Linked DNA regions of Canis lupus familiaris. The protein of the gene in region 2 interacts with the protein of the main gene of each other region in a pairwise test. Links are inferred from orthologs where the notes say so. Each region holds a gene or a part of one and is shown on either strand. Other genes may lie near its edges. The genes, in order: ZBTB43, SYT6 and KCTD9.

Evidence for each region.
Region 1: the proteins of SYT6 (region 2) and ZBTB43 interact in binary tests that used the Homo sapiens proteins (3 or more experiments, as listed by UniProt). The two-hybrid records come from large-scale screens. The link is inferred for Canis lupus familiaris from reciprocal best matches to the Homo sapiens genes SYT6 and ZBTB43.
Region 3: the proteins of SYT6 (region 2) and KCTD9 interact in binary tests that used the Homo sapiens proteins (3 or more experiments, as listed by UniProt). The two-hybrid records come from large-scale screens. The link is inferred for Canis lupus familiaris from reciprocal best matches to the Homo sapiens genes SYT6 and KCTD9.

What each region holds. Positions count from the first base shown.
Region 1 is NC_049230.1:56,548,346-56,552,623, reverse strand, and holds the start of ZBTB43 (zinc finger and BTB domain-containing protein 43), read left to right. Parts: upstream 1-1,406; 5' UTR 1,407-1,565; exon of another isoform or gene 1,566-1,588; intron 1,589-1,908; exon of another isoform or gene 1,909-2,517; intron 2,518-4,278. UniProt on the Homo sapiens protein: May be involved in transcriptional regulation.
Region 2 is NC_049238.1:52,397,916-52,401,549, reverse strand, and holds part of SYT6 (synaptotagmin-6), read left to right. Parts: intron 1-2,907; coding exon 2,908-3,079; intron 3,080-3,634.
Region 3 is NC_049246.1:32,166,319-32,170,562, reverse strand, and holds the start of KCTD9 (BTB/POZ domain-containing protein KCTD9), read right to left. Parts: upstream 2,931-4,244; 5' UTR 2,782-2,930; coding exon 2,734-2,781; intron 2,362-2,733; exon of another isoform or gene 2,291-2,361; intron 2,044-2,290; exon of another isoform or gene 1,642-2,043; intron 1-1,641. UniProt on the Homo sapiens protein: Substrate-specific adapter of a BCR (BTB-CUL3-RBX1) E3 ubiquitin-protein ligase complex, which mediates the ubiquitination of target proteins, leading to their degradation by the proteasome.

The DNA.
Region 1 (4,278 bases), on a different chromosome or scaffold from region 2:
TGGGTCCCAACCTGATGTTCCAATTCGGCTCTCATCCTGCCTGGACCTAGGTAGGTGTTCCTATAGCTAGTAGTAACATCATTGTTTACCTATCTCCAAAGATGATTTTCAAAATACTTATCAGCATAGCACACACCCTAAGCAATCAGAACAGAGGCAGACTGTATCCCTGGATAACTTCTCAACTTCAACTCTAACTTCCTAGGCTTGCGTTTCTGCTTTCTTCCTGGCCTCAGATGATTTTTCCTGATTTCCTCACAAGTTTATCTACGTATTGAAAAGGGTGCTTTCAATATCTCTCCTCTTATTTTAATATATTTTGTTGCTGTCATATTTGAAGAGTCCTCGGTTTCGTTAGAAATAAAGTCTGAGGGACGCCTGGGTGACTCAACGGTTGAGCGTCTGCCTTCGGCTCAGGGCGTGATCCCAGGATCCAGGATGGAGTCCCACATTGGGCTCCTTGCAGGGGGTCTGCTCCTTCCTCTGCCTGTCTCTGCCTTTCTCTCTCTCTCTCTGCCTCTCATGAATAAATGGATAAAATTAAAAAAAAAAAATCTGAGTAAGAAATGTTAGGCACATGTAATAAAATATCCAGAGGTAAGCTAGAACTGTAGTTTAATGTCACATGAGACCTAGGCTCTTTCAATCTTTCCATTTTGCCAACCTTAGCATTTGCTTGTCCCATCATAGGCACGTGATGGGGACTGAACTTCCAACCTTCAAGTCTGCTTAGGGGAAGGAAGAGAATAAAAGTGGCAAAGCACTTGAGCATACTCAACTAGAAGTCCTACTGGACTTTCTTTTCTTTTCTTTTTTTGTTTTTTTGTTTTTGTTTGTTTTTTCTTTTCTTTTTTTTTTTTAAGTATTATGGGCTAGAAAAAAAATAAAAATAAAAAAGTATTATGGGCTAGGAGTTGGTCACATGACTATGCTTTGTCTAACCACTTGGCTCATGAGATTACTGTGAATAGTTTGGACTAACCATGAGGCATTCCTCCTAGTAGCAGTGAAGATCTACCTCCCCTGAGATCAAAGGGTCTCTTCTGGGACCTGAACAAAATGAGGTTTTTCTTAGAGGGACCCAGCACAGCGCCTGGCACAGATGGAACTGTTCCTGTCCTTGTACATTCCCTGAGCATCCACTACGTGCCAAAGGCCCTCGGAGACAAAAATGGATTCGACACGGCCTCTGCTAGGCAGCATGAGAGAGATCAAGTCTGAAAAGGGGTTAGGACTCGGTGTCAGCTCCCTCATTCCCAGCACCGGCCTCACCCGGAGTCCCTGAAGACAACTGACCCGCGCCAGGTTGCACTGCGCAGGAGTAGGGCGGCAGCAGCGCGCTCCCCTCACGCCCCGCCCCGCAGGAGAGTCCCGCATGCGCACAGCGTTTTCTCTCTGACGCACCCCCGGAAGCACTGGCAGTTTCGGGGGCGGAACCGGGAAGCGTTTCCGGGGGCGGGAGGTGCAGGCTGAGGCGGTCGCGGCGGCTACGGCTTGAACGGGCCTGTCGCTGGCGGCGGAAAGTGTCCCGCGGGCGGGTTATGTGAACGCGGAGCCCTTAGCAGGTACGGCGAAGTCGGGACGACAGGTAGCGAGGGGACAGGGAGGGCAGCCGGGGAGGTTTAAGGGCTTCCTCCGCAGGTCCCGGCGCGCGCGCGCCCCCCGGCCCGGCAGGCCCGTTCCGCAGACCGGGATGCTCAAGAAGCCGCGCTCGGGCGGTTGGAGTCCCCGCGCCCGAGGCCGACTCCTGCGGCCTCCAGCCAGCCCGGTGCGCGGGCCGCGACACCCAAGGCCCCCGAAGCAGCGTCTCGCCCAAGGTCACCCCGCGGCGGCGGACCTCGGCGGGCCGGAGCGCTTAGAGATCCCGCCTGGGAACGTCCGCCGGCCTTTCGGGGGCGCCGTGTGGGTGCGGCGAGGCGGCCTCGGGTTTGAGCCGAAGCCGGGAGACAGGCAGCACCCGGCCTTGGCTGGTGCCTGCCTCCGTTTGCTTCTAAGTAGTGTTTCCCCTCTGTTGACGTCTCTGTCACCTGTTGTCACCTGCCCTTTCTGCCTCTGAACTCCGCCACTATCGACTTTGTATTTCTCCCCAGTTTCTCTTGCTGAGCACACATCTCTATCTGCACCCCCCCCCCTTTTTTTTTTTTCTTCTTCTGTCTCTACTTTGCTTATGTGACTCTTGACCCTGTGTTTCCCTCTCAGTCCTCACTCTCATTCATGGCCTGCCTGCCTGCCTGTCAGCCTTGCTCTTTGGCCGTCTGTGTTTCTGCCAGTTTTGTGTCTTTCTCTCTTGTTTGTGCGTCTCCTAACTAGGTTTGTCTGGGCGGAGCAGGGCAGGCTTGCCCGGACCTCTGAGCCATGCAAAATGACTCATGACCCCGTGAAGCTTCCTGCAACTGGTGACAGTCTCAGTGACTACACTGCAGTCTGGCCTCAACTCTGACAGGTGCCGCCCAGCCCAAGTGTGCCGGTGCAGGAACGCCTCGTGGGAGACAAACCAGAGACCATCTCAGGGCCAGAGTATCTTGATACATACTTGTCTTTTTTTTTTTTTTTTATGCATGGCTTTCTGGCCTGCACAACCCTCCACTTCCCTTTGCTCCAGCCCCTTACCCCAGGATGGCCTCCGGGGCTCTCAAGAGCCTGCTCTTTGCGTTACAGCTGCTGAACTAGACCTGTCCACAGGCTAAGGAATAGTCAGTCTAAGATTCTCTGCCTCATGGGGCTCATGGAATAGCAGGATTTCTGAGAAAGCTGTATGCATAGTTCAGAGATTGTGTCAGTATCTACAGTTAAATGATAAGAAACCTAATAATTTGGGATTCATTCTTTTCTTTACTAAAGTACTCACCGGAGAAGTAAACCAGACACAAAAGAACAAATATCTTATGAGGCCACTCATGTGAGGTATCTAAAATAGGCAAATTCATAGGGACGTACGTAGAATATAGCTTATCAGGGCCTGACAGGAAGAGATGGAGCATTATTGTTTAACGAATACAGAGTTTTAGTTTGGGATGATGAAAACAGTTCTGGAAATGGATAGTGGTGATGGTTGCACAATGCTGTGAATGTGCTTAATGCCACTAATTGTACACTTTAAAATGGCAAATTTTATGTGAAGTGTATTTTACCACAGTACAGAATAAAACCAAACAACCAAACAACCCAAACTGCTCTTTGGAGAAGCTTGGAACTAAGCAGCTCTTTGAAAATGTGATTTTAAAAATTTATTTTGTGTGTCTTTGGAATATTTAGTTGAACCTACGTTTGTTGATACCTGCTTTTGTCATAGCTAATGTCCTCAGAAAAGGAGTTCAGTTAAAAGAATTTGCTTAAAATCTTCCCTTAAGCTTTCTACTTGTGGCAAATTCCTGCCCTGGCTCTTCTCCCTCCATGTTCTTGGATTCAGTGTAGGCATCTGCTGCAGACCCATGGGAAATTTGAGGAAAGATTTTACTTTTTACATAAAGAAAACTTTAGGGTTGGAAAAATAGCCCTGTTATTATGATAATGCAAAATTATGTGTCATTTCCTGTGTGTTTTCTGATGGGGGAGGCCTTTATGTTACGTTCTCTTATTTAAGCTATCAGGTTGCCAGTATGGTAGTTTTTCAAGCTTTCTTGTGAGATATTGCAGCTGAATTAATACTGTATTGAATCCTAATACCATTGATTGTTTTCTGTACCACCAAAGGAGAAAAAAACACCGTCAATTTAGCTATGACATGTGCTTTTTTAATCATTTAGGCTTATAAAAATTCTTAGTGAGAAAATATTTTTAGACTTATTTAGACATTTTTAAATGACATCATTCTAATGCTAAATAAAAAGAAAAATAAGTGAAATAAATTGGCTAAAGTGTTTGTTAAATTTTTAACATTCCTACTCTTTTTGAATACTTCTCAGTTCAGAGTTGGGTCCATACTTTTCCAGTGTCCTCTTTTGTGCCTTCAGAAACACTGATGTGGCTCTCAGGAATGCTCTATCATTGTCTCAGGCAGTGACAAGCATTAAAATTTCCACTTGGCCATCATATCCTGATTGCAGAAATTTTGAAATATGCCTCTTAAAATCAGTCGAATGTACTCTACGTTTTTATGAACTTTTATTTTTTCCCTTTTTTTTTTTTTATGATAGTCACACAGAGAGAGAGAGAGAGAGAGAGAGAGAGGCAGGGACACAGGCAGAGGGAGAAGCAGGCTCCATGCCGGGAGCCCGACGCGGGACTTGATCCGGGACCACAGGATCGCACCCTGGGCCAAAGGCAGGCACTAAACCG
Region 2 (3,634 bases):
ATAACGGCTGTTCCACATCAGAGGGTTGGGGGAAAGAGATTTTTCTCATGCTAAATTCTAATCTCCCTCTTGCAATTGACCCTCTTTTCTACCTGGGTTTGGAATCTACTATTAAATCTCCACTTGATTCTGGAAATTCAGGGGTCCTCTTTTTGTTGGGGATTTCTGTTTGGTCCACAGATCTAAGCAAATATCTGGAATAGTGCATGCAGCACAATATGCATTGAATAAATATGTTTTGAATGAATGGATGAATGAATTGACAGCATGAGGAGCCTTGTCAGAGGGCGAAACAGTGGGGGCATGTGTGCTAGGGGCCTCTCAAACTAGATCTCCTGTTTGTGAGGATGAGTTTGAGGTTGCCTTCAGCCCAGACTGCTTGGATATTAGGCCAAAGTAGGGAGTGAATGGAGCTTGTTGCCTCTTCTTGATTTCTATAACATTGACCCCCCAAACCCGAGGGTCTTCCTATTCTCCTCAATTTAACTAGTCATGCATCAATTCTTTAAGCCCATCCACTGGAACGATGACATAACACAAAATAATCAGAAGGATCAGGACACAACAAGGGTGGTGAGTAAGTAAAACCACCCATCTCCACCACATCTGGTCTGTACTGATTTGAGTCTAGTGGTTTAAAATGTAAATTTTGGAGTCAGAAAGACCTAGGTTCAAATCTGAAGCAAGTTCCTGAATCTCTCCAGCCTCAATTTCCCTACCTATAAAAGGGGATGATGATGATGATGATAGATATTTTACAGCATTGGTGGGAAGTTTAAATGACACAATGTATATAAATCTCAACACAATGCCCGACACATACTAAATGCTGGGCTATGATGGCTCTCATGGCAATGGGGCTGAAATGCACCACCTGCCTTTATGCTCCCTCTCTCAGCTACCTAGAACATCATAGGCTGTTAGAGAGGAAACAACCTCCAAGGTCACGTAGAGCCAGCATCCCACTGGAAGCCACCAACTTTTTGCTCTAGAGAATCCTAAGGAATAGGCATCTCTCTGCTTTGCCTCTTGGACAATCACAAGATGGATGGTTTCTTCAAGGGAGATACACCCACTGAATTTTATAAATGGATATGCCTCGTAGGAGTAAACAGAGTTGGAGAAGGAAGCTGAGAATTTCCCAGTCAGTAACAAGGCATTTGCCTAGTGGCCTCCGGGACAATTGGCTCTGCCATATTTTTCCAAGCCTAGTGACATGGGACTCTGCTGTGCTGTGAAAGTGCATGGAGATGGGCATGGCAGGCAATGGGGCAGCACTTGAGCAGCCACAAGTCCGAAGGCACTTTCCAGGGCAGTGTACACCTTATGGAGAAGTGGCTGTGTTAGTGATGGGTCTTGGAGTAAGCTTTACCCATCTGACTGCTTGGACTTGAACCCTGCCCTGGGCATATCCATAGAGAAGGGAGCCCACAGACAACCAGAGAAGTTGCCTCACAGAGGTTCTAGGAACTCTGCCTTCCTTTTTACTGAAAACACCTCCGAGAAAGGGCCCTTCCAAATGGGTCGTTGGAGACAGCAGGTTGATGAAACACCTGCTGTTTAATCACGGTCTCCCCAGGTCCCTCGTAAACCCAAGTGCCCCTGTGGTTAAGGCATAGCTGCCCTGTCTGTCACATTAGTTAGTCGGCAGCTCCTTTGAGAGTCTGCAGAAATGCCTTCAAGGCTTGGAGTTTCTGATCACGTGTCGGAGTCCTCCCTAGCTTCCCCATAGCTGGGTGCCTCAGCTGCCACCTGATCGATGCTCAGGGAGTATAAGGGCCTGATGGGTGCTCAGGTGCTCAGGAGATAGAACCACATGCCTGTGCATCAAGGCGTCAGGCAGCGGCCGCTCGGCCCCCGCCTCCTAACAGATCCTGTGAACCCTGGCTTTTGGGCAAGCAGGTATCTCTGTACATCAGTGTCTCAAAAGCTGTTATTACCTGCAAGTCGCCCTCCCATTTCTTCAGCTATGCAGCATAAATAACAATTATGATGGTGTCTAAGACACCTGTGCTATGAGATACAATGGATGTCACTTCACTTGGATGAGTGGAAAATTTCAGGGTAGAAGGATGACCACAAAATACCTATTCAGAAAACTAAAGAAGAGACAGGGATGGGAGACACGTGGAAGTTCAGTAAAAAGACATCTCCTCTGGGGATGGAGAGGATCCAAGATCCCACTGAGAAATGAAATGTCAGCCGGCTGCCCTGAATCTCAGAAGCCGCCTTACTCACGGCCCCCACCATAGCTCCCTCCTCCTCCTTTGCCCAGAAGTGGGCAGGAAATAGCTTCCGGGGAAGGAGAGAGCAGGGCTCTTCTTGATGCCAGCTGGAAATGAGCTTGTTGGGACAATGAGACCCATAATCCCGTTGTCAGGTAGGGAGGACATGAACAGTGCTGTGATTGTCGCTGTTCATTTACTCTGACACACTGCTACTCCTTGGGTGTCATGGGCTTCTATTTTTACCCCCCTTATCCTTTGGTTAATAATGATGACAAACCCCCAGAGAAAAGGCCTCCAAGTAGGTGAAAGGAAGAGTGTGACTTGTTCAGCTTCATCACCCTTTGGAGCCAGCCAGCTGTCATGGAGTGGGGATTTAGGGCCATGAACCGCATACCTATGGGCAGGTGTCCTGTCTGACTTGAGGCCATTAATGCAAGTCCATTAGGCACTCTCCCAATAATCCTGAGGTCGCTAAAGACTCTGTGTTTATTAAGCACGAGGTGTCCTCAGAGACAGGTGTGCTACATAAATACAAGGTGGTTTAATTATCTTAACAACCCACCGATACCATCGGATGAGCTACAATAGGTCTGTGGCTTCCATCCCTCTGTTGCAAATGATGTTTAAGGACATCTGGTTAACATGCTCCCTTCCCTTCCCATCACCCCCACTGGCACAGATCCATATGTCAAAGTGTCCCTGCTTTGTGATGGGCGGAGACTGAAAAAGAAAAAAACAACCATCAAGAAGAACACTCTTAATCCTGTCTACAATGAAGCCATCATCTTTGATATTCCCCCAGAGAACATGGATCAAGTCAGCCTGCTCATCTCCGTCATGGATTATGATCGGTAGGTGTGGGGCCCAGAGGGCCACAATTCCCTGCATCTCACCTCCCATGTCAATGCAGGATGGGCTTCCTGACCTCAGATCTTGTGATTCAGGGCCCGGGAGCCCATTGGCCTCAAATCTGGCTCCACTCAGGAAGAGTGCCGAAGTATGAGGAAGAGAATAGATTCCCCTGAGCAGAAGCTCAAGTTTTGCTTTCCAGGAGGCACATTTCCATCAGGGACCAACCCACCCATCAGTGTCCCTGAATTCACCCCTGCTGGGTCCTATTCCTCCCTCTAGCTGCAAGTCCCATCATGGATCCTCTCCATTTCTGAGGCTGTTACCATTCCCACTCAGGGATGGCCGTGTAGCCTCCCAGCTGACCCCTGCCTTCATCACTCCCTGACTCGAGCCAGCCAACACATGAAAGGCACACCTTCCTCAAAGACCACTTTTTTCTGGGACCTGCCCTTCTCAAGAACCATCACTGGTTCCCATTACCCAGGCCCTTCTCCTGGTTCCTCAAGGCCTCCTAGAATCTGGACCCAGCATAATTATCCAAATTAATTTCCCCT
Region 3 (4,244 bases), on a different chromosome or scaffold from region 2:
ACTCCCTTCTCTCAGTAGACCTGAGGCTACTGAGTAGCCTACAGGCTACACATTGAGTAATTGAAAGCACTTGTGTCTTTATGGACTGAAAAACCACATTTTAAAATGATTTTAGATTTCTAAGTAAAAATATAAAAAGTGTATTTCTTCTTAAACTCTACTGGGTCCTCTTGCACACCCTCTGTGGTGTACTATTGCACCATGGAAAGCACGGGTTTAGAAAATGCACAGCCCTCTCTACAACACCGAAGCATGCACTAGTTACACTTATGTTTATTCAGTATACAGAAAAGTCACGGAAAGCATATGATGTAGTTCCCTGCAGTATCTCTGTGTCTCTCCAAGCCCAGGCTTTATGGCCCAGTCTGGCAACCACTGAAGAAGCATTACAGGAGGGAAACCTATTTGACAAAACGGATACTCATCTTTTGACGAAGAAGAAAAATCAGAAGCTTGGTCAAGAAGGGATAATGGAAGTGACAGATATCCCAATATCAAACTCTAATGGTAGTGCTCTGTTTCAGCATATTTTTCATGAACGTCATGTCATGATCATGCCAATTCTGGCTTAGTCATGTTATTTATACAAACATGTAACCTGTTATGTATTATTCTGGACTCTTGTCACACAAGAGTAATTAGAGTACATATATATATTTTTTAATCAGCTGGAAAGAGAGGAAAGGAAACAGAACTTTGGCATAGAGTATGTTTTCTGAGTAGTAAGAATTATAGTATGACTTGTTTTTACTATTATTGAATCATACTAGTAATTTTCCAGCTTGGATTTTTTTTTTTTTAAGATTTTATTTATTCATGAGAGACACAGAGAGAGAAACAGAGGCAGAGACATAGGCAGAGAGAGAAGCAGGCTCCATGCAGGGAGCCCGACATGGGACTCGATCCTGGGTCTCCAGGATCAGGCCCTGGGCTGAAGGCTGCGCTAAACCATTGAGCTACCAGGGCTGCCCCAGCTTGGATCTTCATATGATCTTTACTACTAGTATAAACATATTTATCTTTATTTACTTGCGATGTAATTTTCCCAATCTTTTGAGATTCCCTAGAAATTATTTTTAAAACAAGTACAACTTATTTTTTTTTAAACAAGTACAATTTTATTTAAAAAACGGCTAACCTAACCTAGTCAAGACCAGATACTTTAAAAAATATATATATGGTAAGACTAACACAGCCAAGCTTTGAAAGAACAAAATTCAGTGGTTTTAGAGGAGATTTAGCGCATAGTCAAATATCTATGACTTAGTCCAAACATCTTGTTTTTAGAGAGGAACAAAGAGATGCTGGATAAAAATGTCAAAGGTCTGTTTTTGAGAACATATTACAACCGTCTGGATATACGAAGTTTTTTTTTGTTTTTCTCCCAGTACCAATATAAGTTTTAGATTATTAGCAGCTAACGAAACAGGTTTAGAAAACGCTGATGTCAGAAGTCAGTCTTGAGAAGTCTATTTTGAAGTAACATTTATGAAAACTCAAGAACTTGAATACACGCCAGTCGTTCGTAAGGTTATTAGATCTCCACACTCAGAAACATCAGAAAATTATAGTCAACACACTAGACCGTGGTTCAAATTTTTGGAGCAGATTTATTTAAAATCTCAGAGTAGCTGGAGAGCCTTTTTTTTTTTTTTTTTCTAAAATAATGGGGCACAATTACACTATTTAAAGACGTACTGTTTCCAAACTATGCGGGAAATAAAGTACTGTATTCTGGCCAATACTCCAGTGAGGCCAATTTACCTTCACCTTAGCCTGTAAGGCACAGTCCTTTGTAGATGTCATTTAGCCACATCATAAATGTCTGCTTTGGACAGTCAAATTTTCCAAAGGGAGCCGAACTTTCATGGGTGGGGCAAGAGACTCGAGAAGGAACAGGATTCGTTTTGGCTGGCTTCAGCCTTGGAGGGGGGGGGGCGGGCAAATATTTGGTACCACACCCTCAACAAAGGCCTAACACAGCAACGAGTCGTGTCCAATCAACCCACTTCTGGTCTACTTACTGTGACAATCCCTAGAGAACTATAAAAAAAAAAAAAAAAAAAAAAAAAAAAAAAAAAACGAGGCGAAATAGAAAAGTGAGCACGTTAAGTTTGGCGGCGGCGGGGCTGAGGGCGCCCAGAGGACGGAGGTGGGAACACCGTCAAGGAAACGTCCCTCATCCTCATTCTGCTATTGCACCTAGGGTAGAAGAATACCGTGCCCCCCCCCCCCCCCCCCCAAATAAAGCCTCCTCCTTCTACCTTCCGCGTCTGCCTCGGTCGCTCACCTCTCACTTTCTGGAGCAGAGCATTACTCAGCACGAAGGTGGCAGCGAGCGGGCGCCCTCCTGGAGCCGGGGGCGGGCGGGGGCGGCGGGGTCGCCGGGGGTCGCCGGGGGCGAGGCGCCAAGGGGGGCGGCGGCCCGCCCCCGCCCCCGCGCTGCAGGACGCGCACCTGGACGTGGGAGCCGCTCGGCACGAGCTGACCCGCCGCGGCCCCGGGGGCGGCGGGGGCGGCGGCGGGGGCGCCGAGGGGCGGGCTGGGGCCGGCAGCCCCGCGGGCGGGGAGGAGGCCGCGCGGACCCGCCGCTCCCGTCGCGGGCGCCCCCCGCCGCGGCGCACGCCCACCGCCCAGCCCCTCTCCCCAACTTCAGCCTCTGCCCCGCCGGCCCGCCCGGGCTGCGCCGCCCTCTCCCGGGGCAGGCGGCCCGCCTCCTCCCGACCCCCTTACCTTTCCATTCTTGGGGCTGCCGTTTAGGAACAGGGTCACCCGCCTCATCGCGCTGCCCCCACTGGGTCCTGAGTGAGTCGCCGCCACCCTCCCACCTGGCTCTCCTCCCACCTTCTTCTTCTCCCGCCCTTCCCCTCCCTCCACCCACGCGGACTCTCCTCCCTTCGCCACCTTCCTTCTCTTAGGGAGACACACTAGCACGCACTCCCGGTCCCACACCCCTGGCTCGGCCGGTCCTCCTTCCCACCCCGCCCCTGGGCTGCTCAGCCAGCCTGGGACCCTTCCCCCACCTCTCCCGGACTGACTCTAAGCTCCACCAATCAAGCGGCAGCTCCGGCCAGGACTCAGCCAATCACCGCCCTGCATTGGGTGGGCTCATCCTAACCCAGCCCAGGTGGAGGGAGGGAAGAGAGGTTGCTGCCTCGCAGACGGGAAGGGTTATCAGCCAATCAGCACAACCTGCAGCCGAGCGGCGCCTCGAGGCGTTACTGAGCACGCGCAAACCCAACGCCAGGTAGCGCTCATCTGCATAGGGGGCGGGGCTGGGGGGAAAGAGGTGGAGCGCGGGCGGGGACGCACACGAGTCGCGGTGGCCGCTTCCCACTCTCGGGAACCGCGGACGAAACGGCTGCCGTCGGGACTGGCTGATTGGGCAAGAGCCCGCCCATCGTTCTGCCAGGATTGGCCCAATGATTCTTTTCGAAGTTCGCAGCGTCCAATTGAAAAGCGGGGGGGGCGGGGCTAAAGGCCTAACCGAAGGGTGCCTCCGCGAGACTCTCACGGGAAGTAGTCCCCCGGGTGCGGGGGAGCAGTCGCGGCTCTGCGGTCGGTGCGACCCCCCGCAGCTAGCGGGGGCCTCTCTGGAGCTCACGAAGCCCCTCCGGGTGCCGGGGCGACGAGGTAGAGGCCCGGGAGAGTGCGGGGTGCGCGTGGACACGTGTGAACAGAGGCGGCGTAGAGATCCGCTGGGGGCAACGCCGGGGCCAGGGGGCGGGGCTGGCGATTTGAATCTGGCGGCGGGCGGCGAAGGCGGCGGCGGCGACGGCGAAGGTCGGGAGCGGGCGGCGGGGGTCGGGGGGTCGGGGTTCCCCGGGCCTGACGAGGCAGCCTCTGGCGTCCGGGAGTCGCCTTCTCGAGCGACCCGTCAGCGGCTGCTCGACACTCAGCCTGCGGTGGAGCGTTGCGGATAAGCCCGGTGGGAGCAGGGCCGGGCTGCGGGAGTGAGAGGTAGGGCGGCCCGGAGGGCGTTTCTCCGGAGCGTGGTCTTCCTCACTCGGCTCCTCTTGCGGCCTGAGCCCGGTCCCCCGCGTGCTTTCTAAAGTGCACATCGCCTGGAGCCCGGCCAGACCTACTCCGTGGGAATCCGCAAAGCTGGGCCTTTAACAGAATCCCTAGACGATGCAGATGCTCGCCAAGGCTGAAAAGCCATGACTTCTAGTGTGGGGTCTGCTTTGTTTGATCCCCAACAGCAGTTTCCTCCATTTCTCTCTCTCTCTCTCTTTTTTTTTTTA